2 linked regions of the Rhinolophus ferrumequinum genome follow. The main gene of each other region encodes a partner of the protein of the gene in region 2 in a complex. Links are inferred from orthologs where the notes say so. Each region holds a gene or a part of one and is shown on either strand. Other genes may lie near its edges.

The links. The genes of interacting proteins can lie anywhere in the genome.
Region 1: the proteins of FBLIM1 (region 2) and FLNC are in contact, whole or in part, in an NMR structure (PDB 2K9U), measured with the Homo sapiens proteins. The link is inferred for Rhinolophus ferrumequinum from reciprocal best matches to the Homo sapiens genes FBLIM1 and FLNC. Residues at the interface, in NP_001337080.1 of Homo sapiens: Arg8, Val9, Ala10, Ser11, Ser12, Val13, Phe14, Ile15, Thr16, Leu17, Pro19; in NP_001449.3 of Homo sapiens: Thr2339, Ala2344, Gly2345, Gly2346, Leu2347, Ser2348, Ile2349, Ala2350, Val2351, Glu2352, Gly2353, Pro2354, Ser2355, Lys2356, Ile2359, Phe2361, Asp2380, Glu2382, Phe2387.

The regions. Positions count from the first base shown.
Region 1 is NC_046309.1:17,312,100-17,319,905, reverse strand, and holds the start of FLNC (filamin-C), read left to right. Parts: upstream 1-4,806; 5' UTR 4,807-5,064; coding exon 5,065-5,419; intron 5,420-7,806.
Region 2 is NC_046292.1:10,559,170-10,566,371, reverse strand, and holds the start of FBLIM1 (filamin-binding LIM protein 1), read right to left. Parts: upstream 3,007-7,202; 5' UTR 2,985-3,006; intron 2,691-2,984; exon of another isoform or gene 2,597-2,690; intron 1-2,596. UniProt on the Homo sapiens protein: Serves as an anchoring site for cell-ECM adhesion proteins and filamin-containing actin filaments. Is implicated in cell shape modulation (spreading) and motility.

The DNA.
Region 1 (7,806 bases), on a different chromosome or scaffold from region 2:
AAGCAGAATGATGAGGATAATTTATGAGTGTCCTTGTGATTGGTTGTTCTGATCATGAATGTTTCCATATAAAAGGCCCCAAGTGTGTTCATACACCGCAGTGGACAGAATGGCCCCCGTGACCAGTGGCTGGTTTCCTGGGACCTCTGTCTCCTTTCCCCCTGATACCAGGAGTCTATTTCATTCATCCAAATAATCCAAAACAACCTATAGAGCATGTAGAGTGGTGGGCACTGCACAGCACTAAATGAATTCATTTCTTCCCCGGCCTTTCCTAGCGAGAGTAGCAACAACATTTAGAATTAGGAGAATTTTTTTTTCCCCCTTGAGGAGAGCTCAGCTCACCGTGGCCCATGCAGGGATCGAACTGGCAACCTTGGTGTTACCAGCACCGCACTCTAACCAACTGAGCTAACCGGCCACCCCGAATTAGGAGATTTTTAAGTTGTGTGCAGCCCAGAGGAGTGACAAGGCTGGACTGGGAGTCCACCCTGGCAGGCCTGGGCCAGTGCTATAAACAGGGCCGCACCCAGCCAGATCGAGGGCAGTGACATGCATCCCTTCTGCCTCCAAGTGACTACTCTGTGACGACAGTGCTGACCTCGGGGTGCGTAGCCCCCCAGCTACTCCCACGGGTCCAGAGACCAGCAGCATCGGCATCGGCAGGGCAGAAGCTCAGCCCCTACCTCCGACCTGCTGACGCAGAGTCCGCCTTTTAACAAGATCCCCAGTTATTAGGCACAATAACATTTGAGAAGCACTGCCCTCAATTAGATTGTGTGTTCTCAGTCGTAACCTAACGGAAGAAATTCTTTCACAACTCACCTGGGGCGACTGGCCCCTCGCTGGTGAGTGTAGTGAAACCCTGCTTTTTATTCCCTTTACTCCGGCCACCAGTTGGCTGGAAAAGACTGAACCATTGTCACCCCAATAAATTTTAATAAAATAAAAAAAAAAAGAGTGGAGGATTACCTACCATCAAAGATCACTGATTTAACTTGGAATGAGAAGTCAAGGTGGAGGTCACGGTCTGGTAGGCAGTGGGCCCCCAGTCGGGACTTTATCAGATCCTTCCCAGGCCCAAATCTAGAGCCTGGGCAAAGCTAGGAAAATGGTCCCGTTTTTCCCTAGCCTTTTTGCTTAGCATACAGAGCTCTTCCCTTTAGGACACTTGGCTCCTGTTGGCTCATTTTAGAGTGCTCTCCTCTTCATCCCTTTAGGCTTTGACTCCTAGCCTTATTCATACACTGTTACCAGAGTAGATCAAAGAGGTCTCTCCGGGTTGAATGTGAAACAGTCACTTGAGCTTGTTTTAAGTCTACAGGGGTGTCTCCTAGAAGCCCCAGGCAGGCACGCACCCAGGCTGGAGTACAGATAGAACCAAGGACTCAAAACAGCTTCAGGGGCCTCCCTCTCCCGCTCTACTGCCCTCTGCGTCACTGCTGCTTTTCTGCTCTCTCCCAGCACAACAGCCCCCCTCGGCTTTCTCTTCCCAGGCCACGTGCTAGAGCACACCACCTGCCACTCCTGTCAAGGACCAACTGCTATTAAGGAGCAGGGTGGGTGGTTCTAAAGATCAGAGGTACCCTGGTTCTGATTCTGGCAGGTGGATTCGGGGATCACGGAAGGGAAGACTGGAGGAGTGTGAAGATCCTGGCGGTGGATTCTACAAGGGATAGAAACAGAGCTGGGAGGAAGGCCTCACTCACCAGACCCCAGATGGTCCCCGAGATACCAGCAGAGAAAGCAGACGAACTTTTTTTCTGATCACCTATTAGCTGCCAGGCACCACGCTCATTTTACATGTTCCCTCCTTTCATCTTCATACATAAAAAATCGCCATGACAACATTAACTCCATTTCACAGATGAGAAAACTGAAACCCAAAGGAGTTACATTACCTGCCCAAGGTTATAAAGTCTATGGATCTTTCCATCCGACCCCACCGTCCCTGGCACCCAGGTCAGGGCCACAGTCAGTATCACCGATTGATCCAAGGACCTGCTGTGAGCCTGGCCAGTCTCCTCTCATAACGGGTGACTGTGGAAATGTCCCTGGCTCCAGAAAAACAGGATTCTCAAACATGGCCCATTGGACCCGCTCACTCTGACTCTGTTTAGCCCAAGTTAATTATGGCCACTGTCCGTGGCTGATGAGCCCCTTGATGGGAGAAGTAGGGCCAAGTGAAAGGCAACCTGGTCCTCTGAGACAGGTCAGCGGGTGGTGAGTCAGGGGGCTATAAACAGCCTATGGCCCCAGCCAGCGTTACCCCAAATGCTCAGCTGATGAAACCCCCTGTAAGCCCCTCTATGTGCCCCTGCCTGGCTTGGCCCTTCCTCAGGGAGGCGGCCCCACTTGGCAGGCCGTAGGACCAGCATTGCGCACGGTCTGTTCCAGCCCTCATGGCCAGGCCTGAGGCCTGGGCTCATGGGCTATATTGAGAGCTGAGTCACCAGCCTGCGCCTGGGTCAGGCTGCTGGGACTGGCTGGCTGGGGCCTGAGTCAGGCCCCGATTTATCCTGGAGAGCAACAGGCTCAGGTTTCTGGGGAAGGGGGGTAAGAAGGGTGCTGGGAACCATCCTTGGCACTGGGTACCCTGCTCTACTGAGACCATTCACTTACTCCTCAGGGGCCTCTTACGGACCTCTCTTGGAGAGAGGGAATGAGAGGGGGGAGAGAGGAGACTTCTTTCTCCACTCACTGGCCTCCCTCTGAACCCTCCCACCTCAATGGAGGACCTTAACTGACTGGGGGACACACCAAGTAATGCCCCAAAACAGGACTATGAGCCACTAGGATTTGTAAAGGGGCTGTTGGCTCCAAGGAAACCCATTTTACCCCTTTCTCTTCTCCCTAGCAGCTCAGAGAGAGGAACCTATCCTTTCTCAGATCTGTACCTCAGTTTCTTCATCAGGGCTTCAGAGACATCGCTGAATCCTGAGCTGGCACCTCAGGTTAGGTGTCAGAAGTCTGCCATTTTTACACACACACACACACACACACACACACACTCACAAACACACACACTTCCCTTGTGAGACCCAGCTATGTGTCATGTGTCCCCAGGAGCTGGGCATCTCTCCACAGGAGAGCTCAGCCTCTAAAGTAGACGGTCAACACTGATGCCTGGTGGTTGGTTTTGGCCGTGGGACAAAGGTGGCATGGGGCAATGAGAATTCTGGAGATAGGGAAGGGGGGTGCCAGTAGGAGAGTGGAATTCCTGAGCACCTCGTCACAGGCAGCCGACAGAACATGAGCCGCAGGGCCCAGGCTATTTATACCTTGCCTGTCACTATTAGGGCCCCCAGAGCTCCCCCCTCACAAGCTACACACAGCAGTTCTCTTTTCTGTTTCTGGCCCCTTCTCTACTCCTCCCCCTCCCTACCTAATGAGAAGGGAAAGAAATCATTCATGGACCCCTTTCACATAAGCACTCCCGCCCACAAAACCCGGGAACTTCTTTCTGAGCTCCATAATGGAGATTGCCCTCATTCTGTCCGCTATCCCCCTTCTCCCTGGGGGTAGAAGAGGAATAAGGTAGAATGTTATACCTCTAAGGTCCCAGAACCTTCCCAAACTTCAATTATCACACAGCTTGAATCGGGGAATGTCTGGCCCAAACTTACTTGTTCTTGAAGAATGGGAAAGCTGAGGAAATACAGCGCAAAGGGAATACCAGGGGATATGGACCACATGCATGCTACAAAATTATGGATTTATATTCTCTGTATATATATTCTATAGCTCTGTCATCCCAGGCCAGCTCCTATTTGACTGCCTCAAGTTTCCTTGCTGTCACCATTCCCTCGCCCAGTCCTGCCTAGGCTTCCTGGCTGGCTCCCTTGGGCTCTCTCTGCCCACCAGCCCCTGTCACGTTTCCCCTTGGCTGCTCTGGGCAGGGCTCTCCCTCTTTGTCTGGCGAACCCGCCCTTTCACTGGAAGGATCTGCCCTGTGGCCCAAATGGGCACCTTGCCCAGGGGGCTCCCTGCTACTACAGGGCAGTTTCTCCCTTCCCACTCATCACCTTGGTTGAGTCAGACTTGGGGGGGTGCACAGTGTGACTCACTGGGTACTCTTTTCCTGAGCTCAGCTTCATTCTGAGGGGATGAGGCCAAACAGGCTGGTGACGGGGACACTGAGTCAGGGGCAGCCTCAGTCTTTCTCCTGGGACCCTGGGTTTGGCCTTCAAACTAGGCTTTTCTACCTGTAAAAGTGAAGCACCACCCCCCACCACAACCATCACACCTTCTCCCCAATTGGCCTGGGCGGTATCCTTATTTCCTCTCAGTCCATCTCTGTACTAGCACACACTTCCCTTCCCTGGCACAGGTGGACAGTACCCTGGGCTAGGAGCCAGGACTCCCAGGCCCTGTCACCAATTCATCCAGAAAATTTTGTCAACACCAGATCACTGTGTTTTACCCTAACCACTGACCTCAGTTTCCCTATTGATCTCTTTAGTCCTGCGGGACGTGGAGGGGACATATTTAATCTCTGACGGGCAATGCTTAGTTTTGGGGTGTTGGGTGCCCTACCCCCCACCTTCCAGCTCTGCTCCACCTCTCCAACGCAGCGCCCCAGGGACTAGCCCCTCTGGGGAGCTAACTGGGGGGCGGGGGAGCCCCCCCCTTGGGCCAATCGGGCCGCGTGGGGGAGGGGAGGACAGAGGCGGGGCGGTCGGGCTCTGCGCGGCCCCCACCCGCAGGCCGGGCGGCATTCCTGGGAGGCCGGCGCTCTGACGTGGACCCGGGGGCTGCGAGTGCGGCGGGGGGAGCGCGGCCCGGGGCTTCTTAAACCCCCCGCCCCGGCCGGGCCGGCACTTCCCGAGCACCGCTCCGCCCCCGAAGGGAGAGGGAGAGAGAGAGAGAGAGAGAGAGAGCGAGCGGCCAAGGAGCGAAGAGTCCCGCTGAGTCCCGCCAGCCAGGGGCGCGAGAGAAGTTGAGAGCCGCACAGCGCAGAGCTGCGAGTCCCGCGATCGCCCAGACAGCGCCCCGACAGCGCCCCCAGCCCCTGCCCAGCCCGTGCCCAGCAGGCAGCACAACCCTCGACCCACCCCTGCCAGCATGATGAACAACAGCGGCTACTCGGAGCCCGCGGGCCTCGGCCTGGGCGACGAGGCAGACGACATGCCGTCCACGGAGAAGGACCTGGCGGAGGACGCTCCGTGGAAGAAGATCCAGCAGAATACATTCACGCGCTGGTGCAACGAGCACCTCAAGTGCGTGGGCAAGCGCCTGACCGACCTGCAGCGAGACCTCAGCGACGGTCTGCGCCTCATCGCTCTGCTCGAGGTGCTCAGCCAGAAGCGCATGTACCGCAAGTTCCACCCGCGCCCCAACTTCCGCCAGATGAAGCTGGAGAACGTGTCCGTGGCCCTCGAGTTCCTCGAGCGCGAGCACATCAAGCTCGTGTCCATAGGTCAGTGTGGGCAGGGGAGTGCCCCGAGGACCGGCTGGCCCGTGGGGACGGGACACAGGTGCCGGTGGGTGCGGGGAGCTGAGAGAGAGGGAGGAGAGCAGCCCCCTGACACGGGGAGGGAACCCCGGCTCTCCCGCCACCACCGACGCTGGCCACACGGGCACTGCCTTCACGCCCCTCTCTGCACAGCGGCGGGCGGTGGGGGATGGGGAGATACCCGGAGGGTCCAGAGTCCCCCGGCTTCAGCCTTCTCCTACACGGTCCCACAGACCCGCCTCTCTACTCATCGTCCGCCTTCTTGCCATCGGGCAACCCCAGCCATACTTGAGAGGACAGGGCCAGTACCCATTACTGATTCCTGGGGGCGTCTTCCCTCAAACAAAGCAAAGGCTTCCCAGCCTTGCAGCAGCTCCACCGGGAGGAGCGGGCTGAAGGCAGGTCCCAACCACTGCCGATCCCGGGGCTCCGGGGCAGACGGAGAGCCGGTGGCCCGCATGTGTTAAGCAGCTGGGTTCAGGCCCGGGGGCCGGGGCAAGCAGAGCCCAGCCTCAGAAACCTAAAAAGGCACTGAGCGAGCGCGGGAGCCTTAACCCCCGCTAGTCCTCCTCGGGCTCAGCGTGCCAGGGAGGGGTCTCCGCACGTCCAGGCCCGGCCCGGCCCCAGCCCACCCCCTAAGCTGGGATTGGCTGCAACTAACGCTCGGGGCAGAGGGGAGGGAGGGGAAGGCCTGTAGAAGGGAGGAAGTCATTGAGTGTAACCAGATTTGGAAGGTGTGTCTGTGCTGGGTGGGGGTGGGGAGACACTCTAGGCTTGGGAACCAGAGGCCAAGGTTGGACTCTGAGTGGCCAAAGGCTGCCCCTCCCCTCAAAGCTCTGCTGTCCTCTCTGCAGGCTGGTGGCCTGGGCCAGACCCCCTACTCCTGTGTACCCCTGTGGTGAGCTCTTAAAAGTCCAGCTGTGATTTACAGGAAAGTGTCCCGTGAAGGGTGCACCCCAAGGCCCCAGGAGAGGGGTTTAACTTAGGGTCAGATGCCTCTCCTGCCAGACTGCCCCAGAGTCTATTCCGGATAATTGAATGTCCACCCCCAACTCTCCCTCAGGGCATCTCTAGGCCTCCTGATTTAGCAGCTGAGGTCAGTCGGGGGCCCTTTGCCTTGTCCAGTCCCCTCTCTAGGCCTTACCCCCTCCTGCCCCAATACTGCCCTCCCACCCCACCCGCTCTGGCCTGGAAATAGCCCTACCTCCGTGACACAGCAGATGTCTCTGAGCTTTCCAGAAGGACAAGCCTGAGGACAGGAGTGGGGGAGGGGCCCTGGGGTGTGTAGTGGGGGTGAGGGCTATTGAGAGTGTGTGTGTGTTGGCAGGGGTCTGAGGGGAGTCTGCCCTTGGTCTGTCACCCCCCTGCACCGGGGATTTGACGGACAGGACTGGCTGTCCCAGGTGGGGTCTCCAGGGGAGAGCCGGGGGCCTCAGCATATCTTTGTAGGAAGCTGCTCCCTGCTTTCCCCTCCCCTCTGGGTTGTGGGGCGGCTAGCCCCTCTCCAGGCCTCATCCTTCCTGTGCGCACCTCTCCCCTCCCCCATGGTGGTGCCTGGCTCCAGCCCCTTGGCTCAACTGTGGAGGGGCCGGCTCAGAGCAGAGGGGGAAGAAGCAAAAGCTGGTTTGGGGTGGGGAGGGAAGTGCCTCGGTTCCCGCCGAGAGGAAGGGAACCATTCCCCATTTGGGCCAAGTGGCTCACTCCCGGTGATGAGATAAGCTGTCAGCAATTCTGCTGCTGGGCCTGAGGCTGAGGTTGGAGGGGAGGGGGCCCAGGCGGAAGGAGCTTCCCAAGCTTGAGGAGACGTAGTGGGGTTCCCCACCAGGGGTGGCATCCTCCTTCCTCTAGTTCCCTCGTTTCCCATAAGTGATTGGAACAGGCCGTCCAGGGGGCCTCCTCTAGGCATTGTCTCAAGACTGAAATCGAGTGTCTGGGCACCTGGGAGGAGGGTCAGAAAGACTCCCCACGTCCCTCTCTAGGAGTGGGGTGACAGCTGGGAGCTGAGAAGTCCACCTGAAGGAGGGGGTACTCTTTCTGGGTTGGAGGAGCTGTGTGCCCTTCTTACCCCACTCCCCGCATCCCAGCCCCCCCCAGCCCCTCCAAACAAAGAGACCTATGAGGCAGCACTGTCCCGCAGCTGTTCCCCAGTTGCTATTCCTTCTCCTTGAGCCAACAGCCAAGGGAGGGGCTGGAGGGGGCAGCAGCTGTCCCAGCCCCTCCCTCGCCCAGCCCTCTCTCCACCCCCTCCACTTGGGGCCTGGGGCAGCCTCAGGCACTGGCTGTTGGGCTCTTCCCGCCACTTTGGGGGTACCCCCTGGCAGGCGAAGAAGTGGTGGCTCCGTGGGGTAGAA
Region 2 (7,202 bases):
GGCCACTCCAAGGCCTCCCTCTGTATGAATTTCAACTGGCCCCCTGGGCAATCTTGGTGACTGATGGACAATAACAACAAAAACAACATATGCTGGTAAATTTCTCCTAAATTGGTTTATATGTTTGGTTAAAATGTATAGCTCAGTCTGGTCATAAAATATCTGTTCTGAAAAAGAAACCAATCTATGAAGAAAGCTTCAAAATTCTTTAAAATATTTCTCTTTTGTGTCTTGTTTTATGTGATGTCTGGAAGTGTATACGCTTATATTGACTGTCATAATCTTTGGTTTTATGCTGGGACTTGCTGGGACTTCAGGCCCCAAGGGAAGGGGCCAAGCTGGGGACTTTCAAAGCCTGGTCTGTTGGGTCCAGTAGTCAGGTACCGGCAGGAAAGGGAAGCTCAACTTCCCTCTGGTCCCTCTGCCCCCACGTTTGCTACAAGTTTAATTATCAATTTTTGTAAACAACTTTCAGAGTGCATCTGAGATTTAAATATAAGAAACAACAGGGCACTGGTTGATAAAGCATTGGCTGTGCCAGGCGCTGTGTGCCATGCACTGTGCCCCCAGGGCCTTCCATGTCTCAAAACTCATCTAATTCTCAAAACAGCCCGTTTTGCCCCTACTTCATGGATGGACCACGTGAGGCCCCAAGAGGTTAAATGACTTTTACAGGCCATCCGTGGCAGACTAGGAATTCTAACGGAGCGCTATCTGATCTGCGTCCACAGGGTGTCCTAGGACCTGAGACACACCTTTTCATCCCTGGGTGGCATGGGGGCCCCAAATTCTCAGGCCTGTTCTCACCCCAGAATGCCCCAATCTGAACCAATCACCTTGTGGTCAGTGTATTCTGGGCTTTCCCAAGACTTCTGTGGATGCCCCCTCTACCTCCTTCTCACCCAGCTCTGACCCTCACTCCACCCCTTAAGGAAGTTGGATCTGGCGGTTTCTCGGAAAACATCCAAGGCAAGCTTCCCAGTGCTGACGCCAGATGTTCACAGCTGGGCACCCCCCCCTCCCCACACACACACACACACACACACACACACACTCCCTGCGGTTCTTGCTGGGACTTCAGGCCCCAAGGGAAGGGGCCAAGCTGGGGACTTTCAAAGCCTGGTCTGTTGGGTCAGTAGTCAGGCACCGGCAGGAAAGGGAAGCTCAACTTCCCTCTGGTCCCTCTGCCCCCACGTTACTCTGGAGTGGGGTACATGTGAGAAAACTCCCTGTGGGGCACCCAGAGGACCCTCCACCCCCATCCTTCCTCCCTCAGAGGGTGAATCTGAGATCCAGTTGGGTAAGCAGAGAAAGTGGGAACAAAGGGAAGGAAAGTCATTTCCTGTCAAGAGGAAGGAAGGAGGCTGAGATCCAGCCAGCCAGACACCCAGCCGGCTTTAAGCTAAAGCCCAGGGCAGGGACGGCCGGGCTGAGTGGGAGGGCCTCCAGGGGCTACCGGTAGTGACCCCTGCCATTGTCCCCTGTCCTATTCCTTCTAACCCCTTCCCAAAACTCTGGAACAGCCCCTAAGCTTTGTTCTTTGATACTCTATAAGCAATCTATGCTTGGTTTGGAATTAAAGTTTGAGGGAGGGGGAGGTGTGACTGTACCCCTTACCCCCCTCCACCGCAGGGGACCTTGCAGCCTTAGATAGGTGTTCCCCCTCCCTGTCTCCCACTCCAGGGAAGTGGAGGAGGCACAGGGCTGGGTTTACAGGGGCCCCACTGCTTTCCTGCTGGGCGACACTGAGCAGGTTACAGAACCTCTCTGGGCTCCAGGTTGTTTATAAAGTGAGAATAATGAGGTCTGTCCTGACCGCTGGCTGGCTGAGGGACTAAAAGGAAAGATGGTGCTCAAGATCTTGGTACAGTAAGTGCAAAGAGAAGGCCAGCTGGTTATTCAGCCCCTGGGGGGGAAGAGGAACCCTTAGGGACTAGGCTCCTGGGGGTCCTAGGAGGCCCAGGACTTAGCTTCTGTCATTATGAAGAACAGAAATCTAGGCACACCGCCCAGCGTCTTCCGTGGGTCCTCAGATCTGGGCAGGAGGAGGACCCATGCCACCAAGCACACACCTTGGGGATCGCCCAGGCTCACCCTGTCCCAAACACCTATGGGGTCTAAGGCCCAGAGAGGGGCAGCCCTGGGGCCCCCCTCCTTGCCCCTCCCCTAACCCTAGCTGGGTAAAAGGGCCCGCAGGTCCCCGGAGCTCCAGAAACCCGGCGCCCTCCCGCAAGCAGCCAAGCAGGGCGGCTGGCCGGGTCACCATGGGGCACCGCCAGGGACTTTAATTCGTTCCATGTGCGGGACGCTGTCTGTCCTCTTTGTGCGGGAGCTTCCGCCCTGCCCACCCCCGCCCCTGGCGCTCCGCTCCTGGGCAGGGACACCAACCCTACCCCCTACTCCGGGGACAGAAACGGAGGAACTGAGGACGGAAGGATAGCCCCCACCCCCAGCCCGTTCCCCAGCCCCCTCCAGGGGGCAGGGGTCCCGGCTGGGGGCGGGGTAGGCTTCGGCCTGGGGTTGCCCGCACTGTCACTTGTGTGTGGCCAGGGCAAGGCCTGATGGGCGAGAACCCCCCAACCCCCACCCCGCTTACCTGGGCCGCCCGCGCCCCAGCCGGCTCCGGTCCGACGCCAGAGCGAGCAGAGCCGGGAGGAGCGCGGGCCTCCCGCCCCTCCGCCCTCCCCGCCCCCTGGCTCCCTCCGCCCCGCAGCCCCGGCCGCCTTACCATAAAAGGTGAGGCTTGGGGGAGGGGGCCTGGGATTCCCGCCCGGCGGAAGCGGCCCCTACCTGCCCCCCCACCTGGCCGGCCGCGCCCCGCGCTGCCCCCTCCCCCTCTCTTTGTTCCCTCGACCCCTCCTCCCTTCCCCCGGCCCAGGCCTGGCGGGTGGGAGGGCTCTCCCACTGACACCCACCCACCCCGTGTCCTTTGTGCACCTTGAGTGGTCTTTATTCTCCCTCTCCCCCTGGGTTGGTGGCCCTACCTGCCCTGTCAGGTGGAAGGGGCGCTTACACCTCAGTTTGGCCTGGAAGCTCCCAAGGTCCTATGAGTCAGTTAGACGTGGGTTCCATGGCCATTCACTAACTACCTGGGCAGTAGCCTGTTTCTTTGTAAAACCGGGGGTATGGCTGCCTACCTGTCAGGGTCAGCCTGAGGATAAAATATGACAATGACAGTGAGGAGAGCACAGAGAATGGTCAATATATGCTGGGCTTGGGGCTTTTTTAGGGTGTGCCTCAGTGAAACAGGTCACCTGGATTTGGTGTCCTGAGCTGTCACTACCTGTCTGGAACTCTTCAGCCCTCTGTAGGTGGGTCCCAGGGTCCTTGGGGGGACAGACCCCTCCAGGAGGTCTGGTAGGCAAGGCCCAGCAGGCAATCAGGTCACCTGTCATGGACCCCCTCCCACCTCCTGCACTCCCACCTCCAAGCTGGAGTGGATAGATAATGCAGGGGGGAGGGGAAGCTGAGCCTGGGCCCTGGGGCGGGAGATGGAGCCGGGATGGGCCGCCTGAGTCCCTGGAGGCCTAGGGAACATTGCTGGGAAAAGGAATCTGGGTCTGATTCAGAGGCAAACAGATTGTTCTTTTGATTAAAGCCACAGTGGCTGAGGCCAGAAGAGCACTGGACCCTGCGCCATCTGGGGGGAGGCCAGGCATGGTGTGGCTGTCCTCTGCTGGCCCGAAGCTGCAGTCACGCTGCTCAGGGTGGCCCTTGGGCTGCTTTTGAGGGGCTCACGCTCGTGGGGGTTCTGAGGGGTGTGCCTTGAACCCTGTCCCACGCTCTTCCACCCTCACCCCACCTTAAATACCTCACCCACTTTTTGTCATCCTTTTTTCATTTGATCCTCACAGCTGAAACTGAGAGTCTCTATGACTTTCATTAAAATTAGCTTTAAATCCTAGCTCTAGATCTCTCTCTCTCAATCTCCTCGGTCCCCTCAGAGAACTCGTCTTTCCCTGCAGATAATCAGCAACCCCGAGGCACCAGAAGACAGTAGCCGAGACCTGACCAATGGTCAATCTGGATGTCTGGCAGCTAAGATGACGTCTTGACCTCCTGAGCCCTGAGTGGAACGACCCTTTGGCTACTTTCCCATCAGGCCAGAGAGACTACCCTTACCTCACCTCCCACAAATCAGCTCCCAGCACGAGCCCGCACCCCCTAACCCACAGTGTCTTGTGATTTTTTTCCTATATAATTTGTAACCTACACACCCTTGGGGAGTCAGGTTTTTGAGCATAAGCTCCCTGTCTCCATATTGGCCAGTTCGATACTAAACTATTTTTTTTTTCTATACTATAAACACCTATTCGTGCATTTCTTTGGGCCACTGCGCACAGGTAGGTGGATTCAAAAAACAAAACAAAATGTTGGGGTTCCGGTAACAGCCACTCTGCAATAACAACAGCAGCAGTAGCAGTGGTTGCCATTTATAGGGGTTCCTGTGAGCCGTGTCCGGCCTACAGGCCTGCTCTCCATTTGATCCCCAGGAGAGCCCTGTGCAGTGGGGCTGATTATTCCTGCTTCACAAATGAGGAAAGTGAGGCCCAGAGAGGCTCAAGGCCACACAAGGGGCAAGTGGCAGAGCTGGATTCAAGCCCAGACTAGTAGGTGCCCCTGGGTTCACGGCTCTGTTGGTCCCAGGGACCGGGTGACTGCCACTCTCCCCAGATTCAGAAGCTGAGGCTCAGAGAAGCAGCCAGAGTTCTTGAGGCAGAGGGAGACTCGCACTCAAGGCTGCCAGAGCACCTGGTAGGGCTCATTCCTGGCCTGGCAGTGGTGCCTCCCACTTTGCAACGTTTAGAATGAGACTTCGCTATACCTCCCCCAGAAGGAAGGAGGGAACTGCTGAACGCCAGACATGGGAAGGACCTTAAGGAGGAAGGTGAGACCCAGGGGTTTTCAGACACTTTGAGCTGTAGAACCCCCTTCTCAAGTGCTTTGTGACCCAGAAGCTTATTTAAAACAGAAAAATGCAGCTGCCCTCCCCCACCTCCATGATTTCCCCCAAGCCACCTCACTGTGCCCCCCGTGGGACAATGAGGCACCAAAGAGTTGACTTGGGAACTTGTCCAAGGTTACACGGACCCAGTCTTGGACCCAGACATCCTCTTATCTCTTCTGGGCTAAGACTGGCTCAGGAGGAGGAAGGTCAAAGGGGAATGTGGGGGTCTGGCTGCCACCACTTACCTGCTGTCCAGCACCCCCAGCTGCCTGTCCCACCTCTGTTGCAGCTCCCAGGTAGAAAGGAGTGTCCTGGCCAAGGGTCTCCCGCACCAACCCAGGTGTCAGTGTCACCTTGGTAGGTGCCAAGCTTCCTGCAATGGAAACCCAGGAAGTGCGCTGGATGAGAACACACGCCCTTTGTCTGCCAGCTCAGAGGCCCTGTTCCCCTCCTCCCTCCTTGCCATCCTCGGACCAGCTTTCTTCCAAGCAACTGAGCAAGGGCTCAATCTTCTCTTAGGGTTGTGGCAGCTGAGACCCTGGGTGGCCGGGAAGGGGTAGGAGATAGGTTTGGGGGCAGGCCCAAGGCAGTGGGGACACTTGCTGCTGTCCAGTCTGAAGGGGAGGGGAGCATGGCACCTGCTGCCAACAGTAGGAGGAGGGCTTTGATCCAACAAGCATTAATTGGGCACCTACTATGTGCTAGGCAGATACAATCAATCCTTGTCTCCATGGAACTTACAGGGAGATAGGGGAGATATTAATGAAAATTAATATAATACTTACCAGTGGTGAAGTGTGAATGAATAAAGCACTGAGACAGAATAAGGGGTGCAGGTGAGGGTAGGGCAGGCCTCTCTGGGTGGGTGGGTGGGGGCCTTTAAGCTGAGACGAGGAGGAGCCAGCCATGAGAACAGGAGGAGGGAGGCAGTAGGGAAAACATGGATTTTGAGGTCAGACTTAGGCTTAACTCCCAGCTCTCGGGTGCTGGCTTTGACCTTGGCCAAGTCCCTTTCCTTTTTGAAGCTCCATTTCCTCACCTGTAACATAGGAGAGCTGGGCTGGATGCCTTTGAATGGGGATGTGAATCCCTCCCTTTGCAACTGTTGGGGACAGAGGCACTGAAAAGGCACCCTCGGGGCCTCGGGTCGCTGTCCCACGGATGGTAGCGCTAGCTATTCTTACATCACTCTCGCCTGGTTTCCAGTGCTCTCTGCTCACATGGTCCATATGCTCGACAGCTAGATCTGAGAACAGGGACAAGGCTCCCTGAGCTGAAGTCCCCGGGGCCCAGAGACCTCGAGGACAGAAAGCATCTGTCTGTCCAACTGCCGTCCCCCTTGCCAGGCTCCACTGGGGCCAGGTCAGAGCAGAACTGTCAGGCCCAGCCTGGGGGTGCCCAGATGTGCAGCTGCATGAAGTTGTACATTCAGGTCACAGAAGGGTGCCCACTTCCTCAGCAGTCTCAGAAGCCGCCCCACTCCCGCCCGGGGCCATCTAGCTCTGCTCCTGCCCCTCTCTCCATCCTCCTCTATGCCTGCTCGGAGTCAGGTCCGTTCAACACATTTCCTGAGCATCTCCTGTATGGGGGGCTCTGTGCTCGGGGCTGGACAGGGGGTGAATCAATACAGAGAAGTGGGAGCCCCCCCACACTGTAGCAGGGGCGGGGCTGGGGCAAGCACAGATATGAGTAACATCAATATCCGTGGTGAATCCAGCTCTGACACTTGCCAGCCTGTTACCTTGGGCAAGTCACTTCTCCCTGAGCCTCAGTTTCCTCTTGTAACCTGGGGGTAGCAGTACCTCCCTGTGGCTTCATTGTGGGGATTTGATAGGAGGAATGTGGATAAATATGCCTGGTGCTTAGTAGGTGTTCAGGGGTGAGTTCCTTTCCTTTTCCCATCCTACAGATGAAGGAGGTTTCAGGATTTTGCAGGGAGATGGACAAAGTGCTGAAGGTAAGGAAGAGACTTAGTCCCATGAGATAATCTAAGGGACATGGTTTCTGTCAGCCAGTGTCACTTTCCCGGATTCTGGTAACAGTATCCAGTTTCTGTTTGGGGAACCTCACCCCTACTCTTAGTGCCTGGATGGAATTATTTGGAAAGAGTCAGTATTTTTCCAGGCTGTCAGGATGCAAGCTTGGCATCATTTTTGCCAACACTTGGACCAACATGGAGGACAGGAGAGCAAAGATGATAGAGAAGGAGAGATAACTGATTTCATCACTTCAGCTGCTGGATAAACGGACCTGA